5 linked regions of the Xenopus tropicalis genome follow. The protein of the gene in region 2 purifies or fractionates together with the protein of the main gene of each other region. This does not show direct contact. Links are inferred from orthologs where the notes say so. Each region holds a gene or a part of one and is shown on either strand. Other genes may lie near its edges.

Region 1 (4,087 bases), on a different chromosome or scaffold from region 2:
AAGTGCTATTCTGAAATCTACTGGGAGCTGCTACCTTGCTACTATCCCATTGTTCTGCTGATCGCTGCTGGTAGGGAAAGGGAGGGGGGTGATATCACTCCAACTTGCAGCTCAGCAGTAAAGTGTGACTGAAGTTTATCAGAGCACAAGTCACATGGTTGCGGCACCATGAGAAATTAAGAATATGGCTAGCCCCATGTGAAATTTAAAAAATAAACATGCAGGAGTCTGCTGGAGAAGCTCTATTAACTAAAGTGTTTTGAAATAAACATATTTTCCCATGACAGTATTCCTTTAAGTTGAACTGCTGCACACAACACTTGCATCATGTCTACTTGTCCTGATTAGTGACAAGTACATATCACTTGAAAACATGTGACCCTGCATGAGGAACTTCTTGCAATTCTCTGCATAAACCCATATTTTAAACCACATGCAGGTACGCCCTACTTTTATAAGTAAAATTAGCTCAACACTTTAATGGTAAAATGGTAAAGAATAATCTCACTACATATAGCATATATGTTTATGTAGTGCCTCTTTGCAGGACTTGTCTGATCGGAAAAACTTGCTAGTATGATTTAAACCAGGGACTGGTTTAAATCCCAAATCCCTTTTTGATATCTGTATTGCTGCCCAAATTCCTGTACTTGATTAAATGTGTTTTAATCATACAATATGGTCACAGTGCATGCAAACATATACAGGTGTCTGTGTAAATCAGATGTGGCTGATTCACCCCTGGTATTGGCTAATGTATCAACTTCTGTAAAACAAAATTGGTTAATATCTCATTTACTTTATTTATCAGTTTCGCTGTGTGATAGGATGGTTCACAAGATAACAGAGGCTTGGATACAACTTAATTAATGTAAAATACAGCCTGTTTAAGAGGCAAAACAAAAATATAGACAGAACATTTAGAACAATATGTAAGGGTAGAACGTGCCACTAAGTAGCAGATTTACAGTAACCTATCATTTGAATTTAAATTGCCCTCTAGATCTGTCACCTGATATGTGGACATTGCTGCACTTCACAGGTCTACTGCTATTAAAATTTACTTAGAGGAAACATTAGTTAGATGCTACAATGATGGCAAATTGCCAGTTATTCAATAAAGAATTGCTTGTACCGCTATAAACTTTAAATTGGGTACATATCATTTCTAAGATCTAAGGATAAATAAATAGCAACTGTATTTATAGTTAAACATACCGCATTGCCAGGATGCAGTCATTCTGGTTTTGGTTTCCATGAGTGGAAACATATATAATACAGCTATTCTATTTCATACTCAATTTAATGCAAACTATATAAGAAGGGAGGAGGAGGCAGAACCCCATCCATTTGGTCAATGTGCAGTTAATGGGGTAGTAAAACATTAGTATTTCAGAGCATTTATAAAAATGTTTTCTTCTGTTGGCATTTGGTTGCACCAGTTTGAATCCACCACTAATGCAAAAAACAGGTTCTCTCTAGTATGACTGAAAAGTGTCTGTTTCTGGTAGTATCTATTTAATTTATCAAATGTATCTATCACATTTTAATAGGAGAAACACTGTGTAGACATAATGTCCAATTTTGCTAGGTCTGGGAAAAGATCTTACTACTTCTAGCAGCAGGTTTTAGAGTGACCAGGTAGTAAACAGTAAAAATAAAGAATACACACATTTAAGACCACTCTGCACAATAACGCTAATGGCACATGGCAAAATTTGCAGCATTTTGTCTCCACACCAACTTATTGGCCTGAAGGAGGGGGGACAAATCTACCTCTCATTTGGTGTGGATGGAAAACATGCGCACCTGTCACTAAGCAGGACAAGGCGCTGTTGCCATGTTTCCTATTTACATGGAATAGGAAATGTCAAAAAATTTGCAGCATTTCGTCCCTACCCCCTCAGAATGGTAGATCACCAGAGCTAAATCGCTCCTTGTGCCACTACACTAAGAACATGAGAAAATTTGAAAATGCTCTTCCATTTTTATATTTTACTCCCTCATTAACAAATCTATTAAAAAGGAAAAAAAAACATATTAGTAAAAGAGATTAAATTGCACCACACCTCCTAAAATCCATGCAATGTTTTTAACTAAGCCTTTTAACAAACCCTCTGAAAGTTCCAGCTGGGATGAAGTGCTTGAGTGGAAGAAGATGGCGGAGAAGAGCTCACAGCCGAAAAGTCTATGGCGCAAAATACATGCTAACACATGCAATGTAGTTGTGGATATTTGGTAAATTGCTTAAAGATGTACGTTTATTCAGATACATGTCATTTTGGCTGATCATAGTTTAAAAACTCCTTCCATTCATTACTCCACAACTGTGCTTGAAACCAGAGAGCAACAGCAGGCCACAATGCACAGCACATAGGTAGGGTGTGGAAACTTGCACTGATGGAAAATTGAGTAATAATAGTAAATAGGATATAAGCAGTGCCCCCGCCTCCCCAAATTCCTCCAGCTGGCTCCATCTAGAGGAAAGGGTTTCACCCTTAAGAATTAACGCAAGTCCTCCTCTTCTCCCTGGATGGTTTTTTTTATGCGTAACAGCATGGTTGTCAGCCACTGGTCCAAGCGGGAGATTGAGTCATACTCTTTCACCTAGAAGAGAGAGATATATCAGATCTGGCTGTAATCATGTTGTGATGCATTAAAGGAATAGAGTGTTTATAATATTTTAGAACATTCAGTGTATGTAGGGTGAGAAGTGACTTTATAATTGTTTGGTACACAAATCAAAAGACATGGCAGTAGTGGGATGAATATGAGAGGTAATATAAAAAATAAAAAGTATTTAGGCTATATCCTGTAACCATTACTTGCAATTAACAAATTGTTGCTTTGTTGTTTTAACTCAAACATAGCTGCTATCAGCAGAAATCTGCTGCATTCTTTGAGGTAGAGGTTTGTTTGTGGCTTTTGTTTACCCAAAACAGGGTCACAGATATGTGAAATTATAGTTTTATGAGCCATTTAGTCATCATTATGAGAATATCCAGTGCAGCAAGTAAGTGTTTACCCAAATGGCTGCTAATAATAATAATTACAATATGGTTTTTTTAGCCTACGTGAGTATCTCAAAGACCAACAGGCATCATAAATCTCATCAAGTCCTCAGGCAATTTATTAAAGAAAGTATTTTACATTCATTAGAAATGAGCAGCAAACTTAGTGCCCATTGAGCAGTGGTGTTTTGTAAAGGAAATACTTAGCTATCATAGCAGAATGCTAAGTTCATCAGACTGCAATTTATGGCATAAATTCACGCATGCATGTTATTCATTTGAAACATATTGTCTTACCGCATCTGTGTAACTGTCTACATTTTGCTCTTCATGAGCATCGAGTAGTTTCTGTTGGTGGAAAAATGAGAAAACACATAAGGACAGTGACCTAATACATGTGGAAGGTGGATCAAGTACAGTAAGTGTAGCTGCTCAGCATATGCATAAACATATGAGTGTAAATTGGAGCAAAACAATTTTAAGTGATGATGAAATATGTTAATACACTACTAAATATCATTAGTAGTTTGTCCTTTTATTCTATGTTATAAAGGATGTAAATGACAGCTGTCTGAAATTCAGCTCTTTTTTGCAATATTTAAATTCAACCAAACCTTTTGTATTTAACCCAGTAATGGACAATATGGTATATGTCAGAGGTCACTTGTGGCCACTGAAAACTCATAAGGGCCTCACATTATAGTCCATGTTGGTGATGGCTCACCCTGTGCACCCGGTTTTCCCTCAGCAATACATTTGTTGCCTATTGACAAGAGATGGCCTGTGTGGGAACTATGTTGCTGTCTTTTTGCCGTTTCTTAGAAAATTGTTAATTATATGCCAATAAAGTGTCATTAAGTTTTAAAACCATTGGTAGTATTTTTGATGCAATAATGTATACTTTAAAAAAGGGACACATAGCTTCGCAGTAACCCCTATCCAGTGTTTTGGGTCATTGTCCATCTGTATCAATTTGACTGCATTTAGCTGGATTTGAGCAGACAGTATGCCTCTGAACACCTCAGAATTCATTCGGTCCCTTCTGTCCTGTGTCACATAATCAATAAACACTAGTG
Region 2 (3,150 bases):
AGTAAGGCTGCACTTCCCATGTAATGTATCTCAGTGAGGGACACACACCCCGGGGTGCTGCTCGGCAGTAAGGGTGGCACTTCCCATGTAATGTATCTCAGTGAGGGACACACACCCCGGGGTGCTGCTCGGCAGTAAGGGCTGCACTTCCCATGTAATGTATCTCAGTGAGGGACACACACCCCGGGGTGCTGCTCGGCAGTAAGGGCTGCACTTCCCATGTAACGTATCGCAGTGAGGGACACACACCCCGGGGTGCTGCTCGGCAGTAAGGGCTGCACTTCCCATGTAATGTATCTCAGTGAGGGACACACACCCCGGGGTGCTGCTCGGCAGTAAGGGCTGCACTTCCCATGTAATGTATCGCAGTGAGGGACACACACCCCGGGGTGCTGCTCGGCAGTAAGGGCTGCACTTCCCATGTAACGTATCGCAGTGAGGGACACACACCCCGGGGTGCTGCTCGGCAGTAAGGGCTGCACTTCCCATGTAATGTATCTCAGTGAGGGACACACACCCCGGGGTGCTGCTCGGCAGTAAGGGCTGCACTTCCCATGTAACGTATCTCAGTGAGGGACACACACCCCGGGGTGCTGCTCGGCAGTAAGGGCTGCACTTCCCATGTAATGTATCGCAGTGAGGGACACACACACACAGTGCAGGGATAGGTGCGCCAGGGCCGACTCCGATACATTCTGTGCAAAGGGGGCAGTCCAGGGATTTCTCATTCCCCCGGGCAAATGCCGATACAAATCCTGGTTTGCATTTATTTATTTATTTTGCGAGGTATCCATCGGAAACCTACTCATACTTTCCAGAAGCGATCAATACTCCCAATCGCAATAAAAACCCCGAGGCAGAGCTATGTAGAACTCTAATTTATTATTAAATTACATAACAAAGCTTTCTTCTTTATTACAGACAGAAAAAATGCACATTAGGTGCAGAAATGGGAAAATAATTACAAGAGCAATAAAATATCATTAGTTTCATGGAGCTATCTGTAAAGGCGAATGAGAAAGTGCCATTAGGAGGGGGAGGGGTATGTACAGGTAGAGGCTTTGGGATTAGACGCTTTAATTGAGATTAACACTTTCCTATTCAACGGGGTGACTAAAGTAATGGGCTTTGCATGTAACCAGGCTACCAGCTCCACTCATGTCAGTAGCAAACATTCGGGTTTACTGTAAAGTTGGGGTGCTTGGGAACAATAAAGGGGTGATGGCTTAGTGGCAGCTGTTATGGAATGCAGAAGGTAAGCTCATCCAAGCAGCTATACGAGACATCCGCTGTGCCAGTTTTTGGATGATGGAACACCTTTTGCATAAAGCATTTCCAGTGAGCACTGCTGACCAGCTAGATTTCTCCCATGATACACACAGGCAGCAGCAGGGGGCTGAGCATGGCTTCCCCTTGTTTAGGAGACAGGAAATCCAAGCTTGATGAGGGAGGGCCTTTAAACCCAAACACACCTGGTACTAATCTTGTATTTCCACCAGCTACAGGACTCAAGAAGGGTAATTTATCCCACAATTACTAATTGGAAGGTCCTTCTGATAAATATGATTATTACAGCATCCCAGCTGAGAATCACCTGATCGCTACATAGGCTGGGCATACAACTACACAGGCAGCTTGAGGAACACTGGAAGGTCCCAAATGGGTAACTAACTGCTTGTAAGGTTCCTGCAAAGATGCAACCAAAACTGATGTTCTCTGGCAGGATTTCCGTGAGTTGCATATGGGAGGTGAGAGAAAAGACACCTATTTGGTAACCAAGTTACCTCCTCAAATATCTGTTCTCTGAGTTCCATGTGTCCCAGTGAGTGGCTTTAGAAGATAGTAAAACATTTTGTATGAACAATGTTGCATTTATTAGGGGGGGTGGAGGAGTTAAGAATGCATTTGTGACTAAATTAGTGCACTGTACAATTATTCTGCATAAAACTGAATGTTCAGGCAATCAGACACATACCTTGCTGGCAAAGCCGGTCTGATGGCTGATGGCCTGGTAGCAGCATAGCACAATGGATGTTTAACTCCCTCGGAAAGTACATGTCTATATGTCCGGATACATCATGGATACAGTAAACAGTTACATGTCGTTGTGTGCGCGTAGGGCTGGCGAACACAGGGATACTGCCAGTGCTATGAAGATTTCCAATATAAAATGTAAATTGGTTTAAGATATCCCACTCCCTTATCTACAGGTTGTGTGCACTGAACTGCGCCTTCCGCGCTTCACTTGGGCTGGATGGCAGCTGGACTTTGCCCTGGATTGTGGTTGGTTAGTCTGTGGCGCGTCAGTCATCAATGGATAGCGTACAGCAGCAACAAAATAGTGCAAATGCCGATAACTGCGCCCAGGATGAGAGAATCTCTGCGCTTCCTCAGGTTGATTCTCTGGATGAGGCTGTTAACGGCGGGAAAACGATCTGTAGGAACGTGGCTAAGGGCTGGAACAAAAGCATGGGAACAGCACAACTAACATGGATACTATGTACGGGCATGTAACATATACCTGACACACTAGCGTGTCATTGCACTTGCACCCTGAACAAGGTGGTAATTCCAGGATTCTCACCCCAAGTTACCTCAAAAGGTGCAGCAGACTTGGGCTAAAAGAATCACATGCTAATACCATTTTAACACTGTGCTCTGGAAAACATATGCCACAATGGCAAACAAGCGCATTGGCACTGACATCTGGAACAACTGTGGTGGGCACGACTCCCATTGCAGCTGGAATGACACTGGAATTCTGTGTGAGAACACTGCACACTGCACTCAGTTTATACATTTTACATATATTATTGCACAAAAGGAATAAATGGTAAAATATATTTTTTAACCAGTCATTGTGATGTTACATTGCTGAATAAAACTCATGCCGTACCACTCGGATACCCCAAGTTCCATGGACGCTATACTAATCACTACATGTTCATGGAATGGAAATGTTTCCATTTTAGAGCAGTTGCCCCTGGGCTGCACCCTCCTACGATACAGAAATGAGAGGGGGCTGCAGGGCAGAATGGAAAGGCTGCTCCCAGGAGACTATGGGCTTGAGAGGACATAGAATGATACATGTTCTATACTGTAGCTCTAATGAGTAAACCCCTCCTTACGTCCTGTATCAGTTTGTAGTGT
Region 3 (5,080 bases), on a different chromosome or scaffold from region 2:
AAGGAGAAAAGGCACAGGTTACATTGCAGATAACAGATAAGCTCTGTAGAATACAATGATGTTTTACAGTGCTTATCTATTACCGGATATGTAAACTGTACCATTTAGCCCTATTTCAGTTTAAATGGCTGCCCCCATAGCTACACAACAGCTTTGTTTATATAAACTATAGTAGAGTTTCTGAAGCAAATGCACAACAATACATTACATTTTAATTACTTTGATTTTCAGTAGTCCAATAAAAAGAAACCAAGGGATGCTCTTAAGAATATTGGCATACAGCATTGACTGCATTACATGCATCAGAATACATTTTTATGTAAAACTCCAGTCTTGATCTCAGACATGATGTTATGCTTTGTATGTGTTATGTTATCTGCCCATGTATGACCAAGCAGGCTGGACATTTATCATGTACAAAACATAAAGTACTTAGCACCTCCTTTGGGGAGAAGCGTTCTGAAGGAGGCCCACCAAATAGTACCCCAATGGGGCCAACAGCAATGCTTTCTTACTTTTTAATGCAGAAAAATCTGGGCCCCACTTGCCAAGGCAGGTAATGTAATAATTGCCCAATAAGTTGGTTTCTGTGGAGTGACCATTTATTATTAGAGCCATGGCCAGCCAGAGAGACAGACAGGTAGTTACAGCCATAGGCAACAAGACAGCCAGGTAGTTGCAACCATGGCCCGTCAGGCAGCCAGGTAGTTGCAACCATGGCCCGTCAGGCAGCCAGGTAGTTGCAACCATGGCCCGTCAGGCAGCCAGGTAGTTGCAACCACGGCCAGACAGGCATGAAGTCACAACCATGGCCAGTCAGGCAGTTAGTTACAGCCATGGCCAGTCAGGCAGTTAGTTACAGCCATGGCCAGTCACTTACAGCCAGGTAGTTACAGCCATGGCCAATCAGACAGCCAGGTAGTTACAGCCATGGCCAGTCAGTTACAGCCAGGTAGTTACAGCTATGGCCAGTCAGACAGCCAGGTAGTTACAGCCATGGCCAGTCAGACAGGCATGAAGTTACAACCATGGCCAGCAAGCCAATAGTTACAGCAATGGCCAGCAAGACATGCAGTTAGTTACAGCCATGGGAAGTCAGACAGCCAAGTAGTTACAGCCATGGTCAGACAGCCAGGTAGTTACAGCCTTGGCCAGTCAGACAGCCAAGTAGTTACAGACTTGGCGAGTCAGACAGCCAGGTAGTTACAGCCTTGGTCAGTCAGACAGCCACGTAGCTACAGCCATGGCCAGTCAGACAGCCAGGTAGCTACAGCCATGGCCAGTCAGACAGCCAGGTAGCTACAGCCATGGCCAGTCAGACAGCCAGGTAGCTACAGCCATGGCCAGTCAGACAGCCAGGTAGCTACAGCCATGGCCAGTCAGACAGCCAGGTAGTTACAGCCATGGCCAGACGGGCAGCCAGGTAGTCACAGCCATGGCCAGTCAGACAGCCAGGTAGTCACAGCCATGGCCAGTCAGACAGCCAGGTAGTCACAGCCATGGCCAGTCAGACAGCCAGGTAGTCACAGCCATGGCCAGTCAGACAGCCAGGTAGTCACAGCCATGGCCAGTCAGACAGCCAAGTAGTCACAGCCATGGCCAGTCAGACAGCCAGGTAGTCACAGCCATGGCCAGTCAGACAGCCAGGTAGTCACAGCCATGGCCAGTCAGACAGCCAGGTAGTCACAGCTATGGCCAGTCACACAGCCAGGTAGTCACAGCCAGGTAGTCACAGCTATGGCCAGTCACACAGCCAGGTAGTTACAGCCATGGCCAGTCAGACAGGCATGAAGTTACAACCATGGCCAATCAGACAGCCAGGTAGTTACAGCCATGGCCAATCAGACAGCCAGGTAGTTACAGCTATGGCCAGTCAGACAGCCAGGTAGTTACAGCCATGGCCAGTCAGACAGGCATGAAGTTACAATCATGGCCAGCAAGCCAATAGTTACAACCATGGCCAGCAAGCCAATAGTTACAACCATGGCCAGCAAGACATGCAGTTAGTTACAGCCATGGGAAGTCAGACAGCCAAGTAGTTACAACCATGGCCAGTCAGACAGACAGCCAAGTTGTTACAGCCATGGTCAGTCAGACAGCCAGGTAGCCACAGCCATGGCCAATCAGACAGCCAGGTAGTCACAGCCATGGCCAATCAGACAGCCAGGTAGTCACAGCCATGGTCAGTCAGACAGCCAGGTAGTCACAGCCATGGCCAATCAGACAGCCAGGTAGTCACAGCCATGGCCAATCAGACAGCCAGGTAGTCACAGCCATGGCCAATCAGACAGCCAGGTAGTCACAGCCATGGCCAGTCAGACAGCCAGGTAGTCACAGCCATGGCCAGACGGGCAGCTACAGCCATGGCCAGTCAGACAGCCAGGTAGTCACAGCCATGGCCAGTCAGACAGCCAGGTAGTCACAGCCATGGCCAGTCAGACAGCCAGGTAGTCACAGCCATGGCCAGTCAGACAGCCAGGTAGTCACAGCCATGGCCAGACGGGCAGCTACAGCCATGGCCAGTCAGACAGCCAGGTAGTCACAGCCATGGCCAGTCAGACAGCCAGGTAGTCACAGCCATGGCCAATCAGACAGCCAGGTAGTCACAGCCATGGCCAGTCAGACAGCCAGGTAGTCACAGCCATGGCCAGTCAGACAGCCAGGTAGTCACAGCCATGGCCAGACGGGCAGCTACAGCCATGGCCAGGCAGACAGCCAGGTAGTCACAGCCATGGCCAGTCAGACAGCCAGGTAGTCACAGCCATGGCCAGTCAGACAGCCAGGTAGTCACAGCCATGGCCAGACGGGCAGCCAGGTAGTCACAGCCATGGCCAGTCAGACAGCCAGCTAGTCACAGCCATGGCCAGTCAGACAGCCAGCTAGTCACAGCCATGGCCAGTCAGACAGCCAGGTAGTCACAGCCATGGCCAGTCAGACAGCCAGCTAGTCACAGCCATGGCCAGTCAGACAGCCAGCTAGTCACAGCCATGGCCAGTCAGACAGCCAGGTAGTCACAGCCATGGCCAGTCAGACAGCCAGGTTAGTAGGTATGCGGCGTACTCAAGATTATCTTAACATCAATTCTCACCCAGTGTAGTGATTATCACCTTTAGTGTCATTAGACCCCCCCACAGGCATGACGTCACGGAAGGCAAGCCCCCAAAATCAAACCCTCCCACAGAATGTGGGCAACAAACTATGAGCCCAAGGAGCCCCTTACTGGACCCCGCGCCCTCACATTATAGGAACAGAAACAAACACACCTCCCCCTTACAGTAAATCTCACCGGTCACCGCTTCTCTCTTACTCCCTCTCTCTTTCTGTTTCTGCCGGGGAAAATGCTGACGTCAGCGCCACGTACACACACGTCACCGGCTCCTGTACTTCGCGAGTCGCACTCTGAGTGCGTCAGTCCGGAGGTGTGTTTCTAACCCGGAAGTGTGCGTATTAGTAGTGGAAAGGTTGCCTATAGTAATACGTAGGCGTTATTGTGGAATGGCGTTTCTTTTTAGCTAACTCTAAGTGGCCTTACAACCATGTAATTAATGTCATGACCTTGTTAATCTATCCTAGCATTCTAAAGTGGATATTAATGGGCAAATAAATTCTACTTTCAGCAGAGTACCATATGGCTTTAGGTTATTCAATTGACTTGGTAAATCTGTGCTACCTCAGATGGAAGAACATACCTAGTTTTCTTGCCACCAGCAGTAATGTGAATTGCTAGTGAGAAAACATGCATTGTGAAGTAACCTGGAGCTGCTTTGTAAAGGGGCTGTGCAGATTTACGGTGGACAACAAATGTCCCATGTGCCTTTGCCCTGAGACAACTTTGGAAGCAGAAGTGATGCATATGTGTTCCCAGTACTTCCAACAAGAAGGAAGCTAGGGACGTTTTGTCGCCCATTGTAGCGCAGATTTACCATTGGTGACAAAGTGCCCTGTGTGACTTTGCCATTAATGCTATTACTTGTAATACACCAGCTGGGAAGGACCTGAACCAGTTACAAGGGTAAGATAACACCAGTATCATATTTGCAAGGTTGCATTGACCTAAGGGTGGGGCCTTGAAAAAAACATAAAACTGGACTGGAGTACTGGAGCCTATAAAACATAAAGACTCAAAGTCCTGCTTGATTGTATAAGTGATGCATGATTGTGACGTTAAAGGAGACATATCCTATAAAAATTAAGAATGTACCAGTGAATTATACTCCTCTAGATATAGAAGGATTGTGCTTAAAAAAAGTAGTGTTTCTGACTGAGATTTATTGAGAAATTCCACCAAAACCCCACTAGTCCTGCCCATCTGTTCCACTTCCTGCTGGCTACTTTCACCATTCCCCAATATTTCAACTGCCAATCCAAAGGGGTCATTTACCTAGCCACATGTGAGTGTGGTGCTCAGTATGTGGGGAAAACCATTCGTAAGGTTGGAACTAGGATTCTGGAACACTTATCAGCCGTAGAGAGAAAGGACACGAGATCAGCGATAGCAAAACATATAATAGAGAGACATGAAAGTAGTAATCATGTGACCTTTCAGATTATTGATAGACCTAGTATAAGTGTTAGGGGAGGTGATATAGATAAGAAACTTTCAGAGAGAGAGGTCTTTTGGATATATCGGTTGAAAACAACAGAGCAATATGGGGGCCTCAATAGATGATGGGAATTATCCTGTTTCTACTGATAATCATGTGACCACACCGCTATATAATTGATTAATATTTTTGGAAGCAGTATGTTTATATGTATACTTTTAGTTTAGTATTGTGGTCTGACAATTGGACATATAATCATATATATACAACTTAGAAACAACTTGTAACAATATTTAATACATGTGACTTTTTTGATCTATTGTTACTATTATTATTACTACTATCATCATTATTGTTACTAATACAACACCTAAGCTTACCTAAATGATGTGTGGTTTGGAGGGTACAGTTTTTTATAATTGATAAGCACCCGGGTGGGTGCTCTTTATATGTTTTTATATATACAAGGTTTTCATCACGTCTATGGACATATATGTGCTTGTTTTTCACACTTCAGGGTTAACAGTGAGTTGCCA
Region 4 (5,021 bases), about 52 Mb from region 2:
GTAGTTCATAAATAAAGTTAATGTGTTAGTTAATATAAAGAGTTAATTAATGTGCTAATTAGCGGTTATCTGGGTCAGTGGATTTTGCTGTAAATTTCAATCCTACACTTCTTCCTGCTCTTGCTCTGCACTGCCATTACTTGATGCATAAAATACATAAACTGCGTAAGTTTAAGGGCCCAGTGATCTTGCTGTGGGGCCCAATAAATAGTCAGTATTAGTTCTTTGAAAGTATCGGACGTTTTTGCATAAGTTACATAAATTGTGTAAGTGTAGGGGCCAAATGATATTGCTATGGGGCTCAATAACCAGTCATTCCACTGCTGAAAAGTTCATGTAGGAGATGCTCATATAATTCAGTAAATGAATCCCAATATAAACAGCTGATGTTACACTATAACATAATTAATATAAATACATAAAATAATATGCCAATAAGTCAGCAAGTCAATTGGGAAGGGGGCAGTGGAATTTACCTTGAGTTTTTTAATTCATTGGTGGTCAGTGGAGTTGGCCTCTGCCAAGTTTCTTTGCCTTGTCTTTACCTTGATACACAAGGTAAGTAAGTTTCTAGGCAGTTTTTACGGAAGTTACACAAATTGTGTACGCTTTGACGGAACTTCATACGTAATAAACAATTTTAATAACTTTGGCAACACTGCCAGGCCCACCATCAGAAGATTATTTCACCGAGCACTGCACAACAGTACCCCTCTCCCCCTGACGGTGGCTCTGAAAGAGAGGATGATAATGGGATGGGAAAGAGGAGAGCAGTTAAGGGGTCTTTTTTTAAAAATTCCTGGCGCACCTCTGCTAATTCAAACTACCGTATTTCTACCTCCCACACACACAATACTTTCTTAAAGATGATTCAAAATGCAGTGACGCAAAGATTTTTGCGTGGCACAATACTCATCACTTGCCTCTGTAAGAACAGTAATCCCTAACCAGTGGCTTGTGAGCAACATAGTGCTCGCTAACCCTAGATGTCTCTCCAGGGGGTCTTAAAGCAGGTGCTTGTTTTTTAATTTTTGGCTTGAAGGCAATTTTTAGTTGCATAAAAACCAGGTGTACTGCCAAACAGAGCCTCCTGTATGCTGCCAGTCCTCATAGGGGCTACCAAATAACCAATCACAGTTCTTATCTAGCAACCCCCAGAAACATCCATACATAAAACGCTGCTATCCACTGGCACTGATGGACTTACCAAACTGCCCTCCCTCAGCATTCAGAGTTCCCAAGAAGTCCAACAGATATTACACATCGCCATGTCCAGACTGGGAGTCAAAATAGGCCCTGGCATTTCAAGTACACAAGAGGTCCAAACAGCCCTCTACCAGCCCAATAAATATTAACTGTCTATAACATCTTACAGCAGCTCCTCTGGCATTTGCCAGAACCCATAGATTGCCAGTCCCAGCCTACACATCACTCATATATAATTCCTGTATATATCACCTTGCCCTTTAACAGCAGCCTTGAACATACATATCACACACTATGCTTCAACTGCTTACCTGTTGTACAGGTAAACAACATTTTACTAAAGATCACAATACTTGTCCCCCATGTGCACCCAGCATATTTCTCATCTCCCTCCATTAAATCCAAGTACTAGGGGTGTAGGGAAAAAAAAATAATTAGACCCAGCAATTGCTCCAGGACCTGGGATATTAAGTACCCCATCCTCCAAAGGCGCACTTGCTGATTTTTATAAACCAGCAGAATTCTACATTTGCATTCCTTGTTCTCTTTAAAGGAGTGGCAACAACAGCATCTTTTCCAAGCTGTCACGTGGTATCATGACTGGGAGGCGCTTATCGCTGATAGGAGCCTGACAATTCCTACGTGACATCACGGTCACATGGCTATGACATCACGACTTCCTTAGAGTCGCTTCATCCCACCATCTCTTATACTCAGAAAGGAGGACGGGGCCCTAAGAGGAGCAACATGTCTGGGTACATGAAGCAGCAGAGCCGTGCCCGGGACTTCAACAGCATTATTCAGACCTGCAGCGGCAATGTGCAGAGGATCACAAATAACAGTCAGTATCCCCAGTTTTTCTACAGAGCACCGGTCCTATTCCTGTATATATATCCGTGATCGCAGCGAGCTGCACACACCCGCAGTATATAGATGGGGGTACTGGTGGAGATTTGAAGGACGAATTGTTAGCCATTGGCAATGGGAACTTTTGGACAACAGAGATTAACATGTTATATGGGCCCCTTGTATTATGTGTAATTCCCAGGTGCTACACACCCACTGATGTACAGGAAGGGCGGCTATACTGACACAGCTGGAAATAGAGAAAATTATTTATATAGCATTGCATATATGGAGACTGGACAGTTGGCAAATGACAAAAATCAACTAATGTTTCCTTGTGTTGGTTGGTGGGTGGGTGTACAGTACAGCAGCTATCAGCTGGCATGTTCATTGGCAGAGGGGCACAGAGAAGCAGGGGTGACAGGCAGGAAGGGAGCTAAGTGCAGTGGGAAGTCATTTCCTACTGGAGATTCCTGATTGGGTTACTGTTACCAAGAAGTTACTACTGTTAGGCTTGTCACCTGGTTGGGCTCTTGCTGTGGTTAAACTACACATTACAATATTATCCTAAAGGCAGCATTTGTAGAAATGTAGTTCAGCAACCAGTGAAATCAGGCTGAGCAGTTTTACCCTCGCTTACTGAATTTGTGTTGAGTGGGTTACATTCCTGCCTTACTCCATGGGGGTTTTTTGTTCCCCCCTAACTGCCTGATCACTGCTTTGCAAGCTCAGAGAAAATTTTGGGCGTGGGCACAAGCAGGATTCACCAGGTCAGGCAGGGGCCATGAAATTGTAATATTTCCTTCCTCCCAGCATGACAGCAGGATAGGAGTTCATAATGTGTGATTTATCATGTTGAATGAATGAGACTTGGCAGGAAATATGTATTTTCTTGTATATCATTATGTATTAGATTCACAGTATTGACTTCTGCCAATCATTACATACCCCCAGAAGTAAGTAAATAAATAAATATGGAGTCTTGGTACTACTGGCCTCTGTTCTTCAAGTCTATGTGTAGTTTCATTCTTAAACAAGTGTTCAGCTCTTAATTAAAGGATGCCATGGAATAGTAGTAAATACGTCATAAGAGCAATTTGTCACTCCCTCTATTTGGACTAGACATAAGACATTTACTATCCAAACATACCCATTCCTTAACCATCTTAAAGGGGCATCTTTAACAAAATTACACTTTGCCTGTTGGTCATGTTAGGTTTAGTAAAGTAAAGGAATTTGGGGGGAAAATACCTTACATTTTTACTTGTTAAAAATCCTATGTTTCCGCTTCCATTTGAAAGTGAAATCACATGATTAATGTCCTTAGTCTAAGAAGGCAGCAGTCAGTCCTGTCTTGCTTTATAGCTGAGAATCTAGTTATCTTTATAACAGAACATTCATTGTACTGTGATTCAAGCAGGCTTGGACTGACATGGTATTTTTTTTTAAAAAGGTTTTTTTGAGATGATAGTATCTTAATTATATTCAGTATTTTTAATGAGAAGTGGTAAATGTGCACTCCATGTGAGAGCCTCTAATTAAAAGTGGATATAGCAAGGACGTAATTCATGTAATGAGATTTTTTGTTCATTGTTCACTATGCTGCTGTTTTTCTTTTTGTAATTATAGACTAGCACAGTGCAGTGTTTACAGGAAAATTGCTGCTGTCCTACAAATGACTGTTATTGTATGTTTTGGAATGGCCCAGTTATTCTGCACTGATAACAGCACACTGCTGAGATCTGATAACTGTGTTTTCAGCTTCTCGGTATGCTGTCAAGGTGTGTTGTTGTGTCATACTGATATAAGGTGCACTGTTGTCATGAAGTGCGGTACAGGTTGAAGTTACATAGTCTTTTTCAGATAGGTAATGTTTTATTGGGCATGTTCAGCAAATATAATTTATACAGAGACTTTACAGGTTTTCACAGGAATTTGTTGGTGAAAAAGGTTCCTTCCATAACCTAAAGCTTTAACACTGAAGCCTGGCATCCCCCTACCCCCTTTACTTACCTGTGGCACTTGTCTAGTCAAGGTTGATTTAAACAGTACTTCCAGCCTTGTCGGGTCAGTACCACACCCAAAGCCCAACATCTTCAAAACAGCAGCCATTTCTAAAAAAGAAGTTGAAGTCTGGTACAGGTAAATAAAGAAGGTGCAATATTTTAGTTGTAACTCATTAGAGATGGCCTAGAAAAGGAATATCAATAATAAATATAAATTTCTATTAAAAAAAAAAAAAAACACAGGTACAGGTATGCGACCTATTATCCAGAATGCTAGGGACCTGAGATTTTATGGATAAGGGATCTTTCTGTAATTTGGATCTCCATAGCTTAAGTCTACTAAAAGATTATTTAAAAATTAACCTCAATAAGCTTGTTTTGCTACCAATAAGGATTAATTTTATCTTAGTTGGAATCAAGTTCAAGTAACTGTTCTGTTATTACAGAGAAAAAGGACATTTAAAAAAAATATTAGAATTATAGGCTTATAATGGAGTCAGTGGGAGTCGGAACTTCCTGGATAAGGGGTTTCCTGATAACAGATCCCATACCTGTACAGGTTTGGGATCAGTTATCTGGAAGACTTCAGACCTGGGGTTTTCCGGATAAGAAGTCTTCCCATGATACTGATCTCAGTACCTTTTTTAAATTTGTTAAAAGGAAAAAAATAATCTGCTACCAACATGGATTTTACTAATTTAGTTACCATGCAAGTACAAGGTACTGTTTTCTTATTACAGGCAGTATGGCCACTTATGACCCACCCCCATTCTGGTCGAATCATTGGAATACACAAGTACAGGTGATTTTCACAAAGACCACCCTTGAAAATATGCACAAGGATTTCAGATGAGAATCCCATTATAATCGCCAGTAATAGCTTTTCCATATGTATTATGGGGCTATAATATGAGTCTATTTTTACACTCTTTAAAGTGAAGATAAGTATGCTGGTTACAATTT
Region 5 (5,065 bases), on a different chromosome or scaffold from region 2:
CGTAAAGAATTAGAAATGGGTGAGAAACCAGTTATTCAGAAAACTTTTCCCATAAAGTTATTTTTTTTTTAATGATTTCCTTTGTCTCTGTAATTGATGCTAATTAAACTATCCTTGTGTTTATATTATGTTTATTTTCTGTAGTAGCCTTAAGGTGTTCTAAATTATGGAAAACAAAATGTCACTAACATTCTGGATAACAGATCCTAAACCTTTACTATAATTATTATAAATATATATATATATATATACACACACAACAGATAATGAACAGACTGTTTTGTACAGGGATTCGAAGTATCTATAGAGTCTTACCATGCCATCCAGGTACTTGTTATGGTCATCAGCCTCTTTGTCAATGTCCAGTGCAAGCTGTAAAAAAAAAAAAAAAAGGAACAGATTGTGATATCCGAGTGATTATGCAGGAACAGAGCCCAGGCAAAAGAGGCAGAAGTGCCCTGTACTTTATGCATACAGTAGGAATTGTTAGAGAGGCAGAAGTGCCCTGTACTTTATGCATACAGTAGGAATTGTTAGAGAGGCAGAAGTGCCCTGTACTTTATGCATATAGTAGGAATTGTTAGAGAGGCAGAAGTGCCCTGTACTTTATGCATACAGTAGGAATTGTTAGAGAGGCAGAAGTGCCCTGTACTTTATGCATACAGTAGGAATTGTTAGAGAGGCAGAAGTGCCCTGTACTTTATGCATATAGTAGGAATTGTTAGAGAGGCAAAAGAGAAAGGCGCTGTGAATAGAGGCCTACACATCAGTTATTTATTCCTGTAGAATATCTACCACTCCTACTTACTGATTTCAGCCTGGTCACCTTCGAAGAAAGATTTTCTGACAGCCGTTTGTTCTCTGCATCCAACATCTCATCCACTGCTCCTGAATTTGGCCCTGTAAAAAAAACAAAGAGCAACTGAATGGCAGGTTTTTCTTTTTTGGAAGGGGAAGGGACAGTGGTGCCGGCCCAACAACGCGGGGAAGGGACAGTGGTGCCGGCCCAACAACGCGGGGAAGGGACAGTGGTGCCGGCCCAACAACGCGGGGAAGGGACAGTGGTGCCGGCCCAACAACGCGGGGAAGGGACAGTGGTGCCGGCCCAACAACGCGGGGAAGGGACAGTGGTGCCGGCCCAACAACGCGGGGAAGGGACAGTGGTGCCGGCCCAACAACGCGGGGAAGGGACAGTGGTGCCGGCCCAACAACGCGGGGAAGGGACAGTGGTGCCGGCCCAACAACGCGGGGAAGGGACAGTGGTGCCGGCCCTGAATCACGAGAGTGGAAACTAGAATGAGACTGTCAGGATGTAAGAAGGGATTTCCAGGATGCCCGACTGCTGTCTCACCTAATGCACAAACACATCCCCAGACTAAAGTCCTCATGTGTGACGTGCATTTAACATAATCAATAAAGCCAATTTCAATATATATCAATATATATCTGGCCATGGCAAGGCAGATCCTAGTGCGATATGGCCATAGTCACATATGGGCAGAGTTTCTCTGGGCCTTTTTGCAATATACATTCATTTCAGAAACCCCAGGGTTAAAAGAAACTACAAATGCATAGACAGTCAGGGCCACAGTCTTTTCGGGCATTCAAAGAGAGCTGATGAGCCGAGGTCTTCCTGGCAGCACGTATCTGCTACTGACTCACAAACCATTAAAACTAGAAAATCAATGCACACTGCAAAAGTGCTCAGAGACTGCTAAGTTTATAGCAATTCCCCTTCAAGGAGCCGACTATAACGCACTAAGAAAGTAACCTGGAGCCCTATGAAACCCTCCCCCACCCCTATTATGTCTGAAATTATTACAACAGCCCCTCAGATATCAACAAGAGAAGAGAGAGGCACCCAAATGTGTGCTTATTATAATATTATTATTATAAGTACAGGAAATCATTGCTTATGGTGCCGTACCCACGCACAACACTAATACACTTCCCCAGCCCAGTAACGAGCAGAGAGATCTCCAACTCCCCTCACACTGGGGACTGCTGGTACAGACTGCAACACTATACAGACTGGTACAGACTGCAACACTATACAGACTGGTACAGACTGCAACACTATACAGACTGGTACAGACTGCAACACTATACAGACTGGTACAGACTGCAACACTATACAGACTGCAACACTATACAGACTGGTACAGACTGCAACACTATACAGACTGGTACAGACTGCAACACTATACAGACTGGTACAGACTGCAACACTATACAGACTGGTACAGACTGCAACACTATACAGACTGGTACAGCAACTGGCAACACCTATACAGACTGGTACAGACTGCAACACTATACAGAACTGGTACAGACTGCAACACTATACAGACTGGTACAGACTGCAACACTATACAGACTGGTACAGACTGCAACACTATACAGACTGGTACTGGTAAGACTGCAACACTATACAGACTGGTACAGACTGCAACACTATACAGACTGGTACAGACTGCAACACTATACAGACTGGTACAGACTGCAACACTATACAGACTGGTACAGACTGCAACACTATACAGACTGGTACAGACTGCAACACTATACAGACTGGTACGACTGCAACACTATACAGACTGGTACAGACTGCAACACTATACAGACTGGTACAGACTGCAACACTATACAGACTGGTACAGACTGCAACACTATACAGACTGGTACAGACTGCAACACTATACAGACTGGTACAGACTGCAACACTATACTAGAGACCCCCACGACTCTCTAATGACTCCTAGAACAGTCTCAGTCTACACAGAGTAGAACCCCCGCACCCTGAACACTGTGTAGTACAGAGTATACAGCACATTCCCATACTGACCTTCCCTAACAGAGAAATCACCCACCAAAGGCCTTCAGAGTACTTCCCCATACAGCCCCCATGGAGACCACCCCTAGCATAGAGCCCCACCCAGGACAGAGTACCGCCCCCAAACATTAATTCCAGCATAGATTCCCTCTCAGTTCCTTTGCTTTACGCTTAATATCCCAGAGCGAATCCCACGCAAACACCTTCTCTGTTTGCCAGGCCGCTGCCCCCACTCTCTCGGCATTCAGGGAGCACTGATATCCTACATAACACACGTATTTATCTCACACAAGCACCCTAGACCCCAGTACCTCTGCCCCAGTCCGCCATCTTGGATTCTTCTAAATGTGACGCGGCAGGATATTACACGTCACTAACGTCACCCTCACAGCCACCAATACGCTTCAACCTTGCGTCAGTGCGTCAAGAAAGGACGGACTGTCTCATTAAGCCACGCCTATTAATGTTTAGGCGTTCGCTGTTGCCATGGAAGCAGTTTATCCGAATTATCCTAATATAAAAAAAATAAAGTGAAACGTGCACTCCTTTTGCTTCTCCTACTTTGTGTGTTGTGGCTAGCTCCGCCCCACATGGCGAATCTCTTGGGGGATCTTGGGATTTGTGGTCCAACAAAAACAGTGGAAGCAGATTACACATTACAGCTCAATACTCCCCCCACATATTCTCCAATTTGGAGCCTCTCTCAATGTAGTTTGTGACAAAAAAGGCTTCCAGTGCTTTAAGGAATGGCGACACCAAAAAATGAAAATTATTTCAAGTAATTAAAATATAATGTACTGTTTCCCTGCACTAGTAAAAGTTCTTTTACTTCATAAACCCTACTCTAGTTTATATATACAAAGCTGCTGTGTAGCCCTGGGGTTATGGTTGCCACCTGTCTGGTAAAAATGATGCTTAGTGCCAATGTTATTATTAGAAAAAAAAGATAAAAATATAGGAAGGCCGGTATTTATTTTCAGAAAAGGTGGCAAAAAAAAAAGAGGACAAAAGACAAAAAACTGATAAGCTCTCTAGAATACAATGGGAAACTACACTGCTTATCTATTATCAGCTGTGTAACCTGTGTCAATTAGGGCTCTTGCACACGGGGAGATCAGTCGCCCGCGACAAAACTCCCTGTTCGCGGGCGACTAATCTCCCCGAGTTGCCATGAGCGAACATGTGAACATGTAAGTCGCCGGCGGGATGGCACACGCGGCGGCGCGATTTCACGAAATCGCCGAAAAAGACTCGCGAGGTGACTAATCTCCCCGTGTGCCAGAGCCCTTAGCCTTATTTCAGTTTGATACAGCTTTGTTTATATAAAATATAGTTGAGATTCTAATGCAAACACAACTTACCAGTGCAGGGCAATGGTACAAAATATAGTGACTACTGTGATACATACATTTTTTTGGTGTTACTGTTCTTTAAAGTATGTCTTAGTGCTGGTGTTGGAAATCAGGGCGATTAGTCACCGTGACTAATGTGACTACTGTGGCTATAACAATGCTGACTTGTCCCATACAGCAAATTCCACAGGCGGCGACCTGTATGTTCATGTATGGAAATATCCATTATGTCGATTAGTTTCGGTGATTGTGTTTTTAATTGTCCTGTCTGTCTTTTACCTTAGATACCAACATGCAGTCTAATCTCATACCATGTACCGCCTGAAGATGGCCATACACGGGCCGATACTAGCTGCCGATATCGGTCCCTTAGACCGTTTCAGCAGCTCATCGGCCCATGTTGGGGCAATAACGACGGGCCTGCCTGACCGATACCTGGCCTGAAATCGGGCAGATATCGATCGGGCAGTTTAAAAAATTTAGTCGGATCGGGGACCGCATAAGGGCTAAGATTGGCTATTAGGTAGCCTCTATGCACACTATCAGCTTACAGGGGGCTTTATTTGGTACTAAATATTGTTTTAATTCAATCAAAACTTGCCACCAAGTCAGGAATTCAAAAATAACTACCTGGTTTGGGGGCACTGAGAGCAACATCCAAGGGGTTGGGGAGCAACATGTTGCCCCCGAGCCACTGGTTGGGGATCACTGTATGAGGTGGGGGATTCTGAAAATGTACCAAAATACTTTGTTTGAGCCACAATTTGTGTGCATTTATTAGAAGGAATATTGACTACATGATACAACAGGAAGAGACTTTCAGAGGATTCTGGATATTGTAGTTCTGCACTTTAAAACTAATAAAGCTAGGAGTGATTGG

Evidence for each region.
Region 1: the proteins of gosr1 (region 2) and napa purify together in Homo sapiens (affinity purification with mass spectrometry; 3 studies listed by BioGRID and IntAct, with this or other methods). This does not show direct contact. The link is inferred for Xenopus tropicalis from reciprocal best matches to the Homo sapiens genes GOSR1 and NAPA.
Region 3: the proteins of gosr1 (region 2) and stx5 purify together in Homo sapiens (affinity purification with western blotting; 3 studies listed by BioGRID, with this or other methods). This does not show direct contact. The link is inferred for Xenopus tropicalis from reciprocal best matches to the Homo sapiens genes GOSR1 and STX5.
Region 4: the proteins of gosr1 (region 2) and stx12 purify together in Homo sapiens (affinity purification with mass spectrometry; 3 studies listed by BioGRID and IntAct, counting the BioPlex papers as one, with this or other methods). This does not show direct contact. The link is inferred for Xenopus tropicalis from reciprocal best matches to the Homo sapiens genes GOSR1 and STX12.
Region 5: the proteins of gosr1 (region 2) and bet1l purify together in Homo sapiens (affinity purification with western blotting; 3 studies listed by BioGRID and IntAct, with this or other methods). This does not show direct contact. The link is inferred for Xenopus tropicalis from reciprocal best matches to the Homo sapiens genes GOSR1 and BET1L.

Annotation. Positions count from the first base shown.
Region 1 is NC_030684.2:79,904,094-79,908,180, reverse strand, and holds the end of napa (alpha-soluble NSF attachment protein), read right to left. Parts: intron 3,360-4,087; coding exon 3,309-3,359; intron 2,608-3,308; coding exon 2,506-2,607; 3' UTR 780-2,505; downstream 1-779. UniProt on the Homo sapiens protein: Required for vesicular transport between the endoplasmic reticulum and the Golgi apparatus. Together with GNA12 promotes CDH5 localization to plasma membrane.
Region 2 is NC_030678.2:32,037,711-32,040,860, forward strand, and holds the end of gosr1 (Golgi SNAP receptor complex member 1), read right to left. Parts: intron 2,436-3,150; coding exon 2,311-2,435; 3' UTR 864-2,310; downstream 1-863. UniProt on the Homo sapiens protein: Involved in transport from the ER to the Golgi apparatus as well as in intra-Golgi transport. It belongs to a super-family of proteins called t-SNAREs or soluble NSF (N-ethylmaleimide-sensitive factor) attachment protein receptor.
Region 3 is NC_030680.2:36,552,747-36,557,826, forward strand, and holds the start of stx5 (syntaxin-5), read right to left. Parts: upstream 3,356-5,080; 5' UTR 3,287-3,355; exon of another isoform or gene 3,264-3,286; intron 1-3,263. UniProt on the Homo sapiens protein: Mediates endoplasmic reticulum to Golgi transport.
Region 4 is NC_030678.2:83,638,765-83,643,785, reverse strand, and holds the start of stx12 (syntaxin-12), read left to right. Parts: upstream 1-1,932; 5' UTR 1,933-1,953; coding exon 1,954-2,047; intron 2,048-5,021. UniProt on the Homo sapiens protein: SNARE promoting fusion of transport vesicles with target membranes. Together with SNARE STX6, promotes movement of vesicles from endosomes to the cell membrane, and may therefore function in the endocytic recycling pathway.
Region 5 is NC_030680.2:24,001,440-24,006,504, reverse strand, and holds the start of bet1l (BET1-like protein), read right to left. Parts: upstream 3,257-5,065; 5' UTR 3,164-3,256; coding exon 3,145-3,163; intron 2,908-3,144; exon of another isoform or gene 2,846-2,907; intron 901-2,845; coding exon 809-900; intron 373-808; coding exon 316-372; intron 1-315. UniProt on the Homo sapiens protein: Vesicle SNARE required for targeting and fusion of retrograde transport vesicles with the Golgi complex. Required for the integrity of the Golgi complex.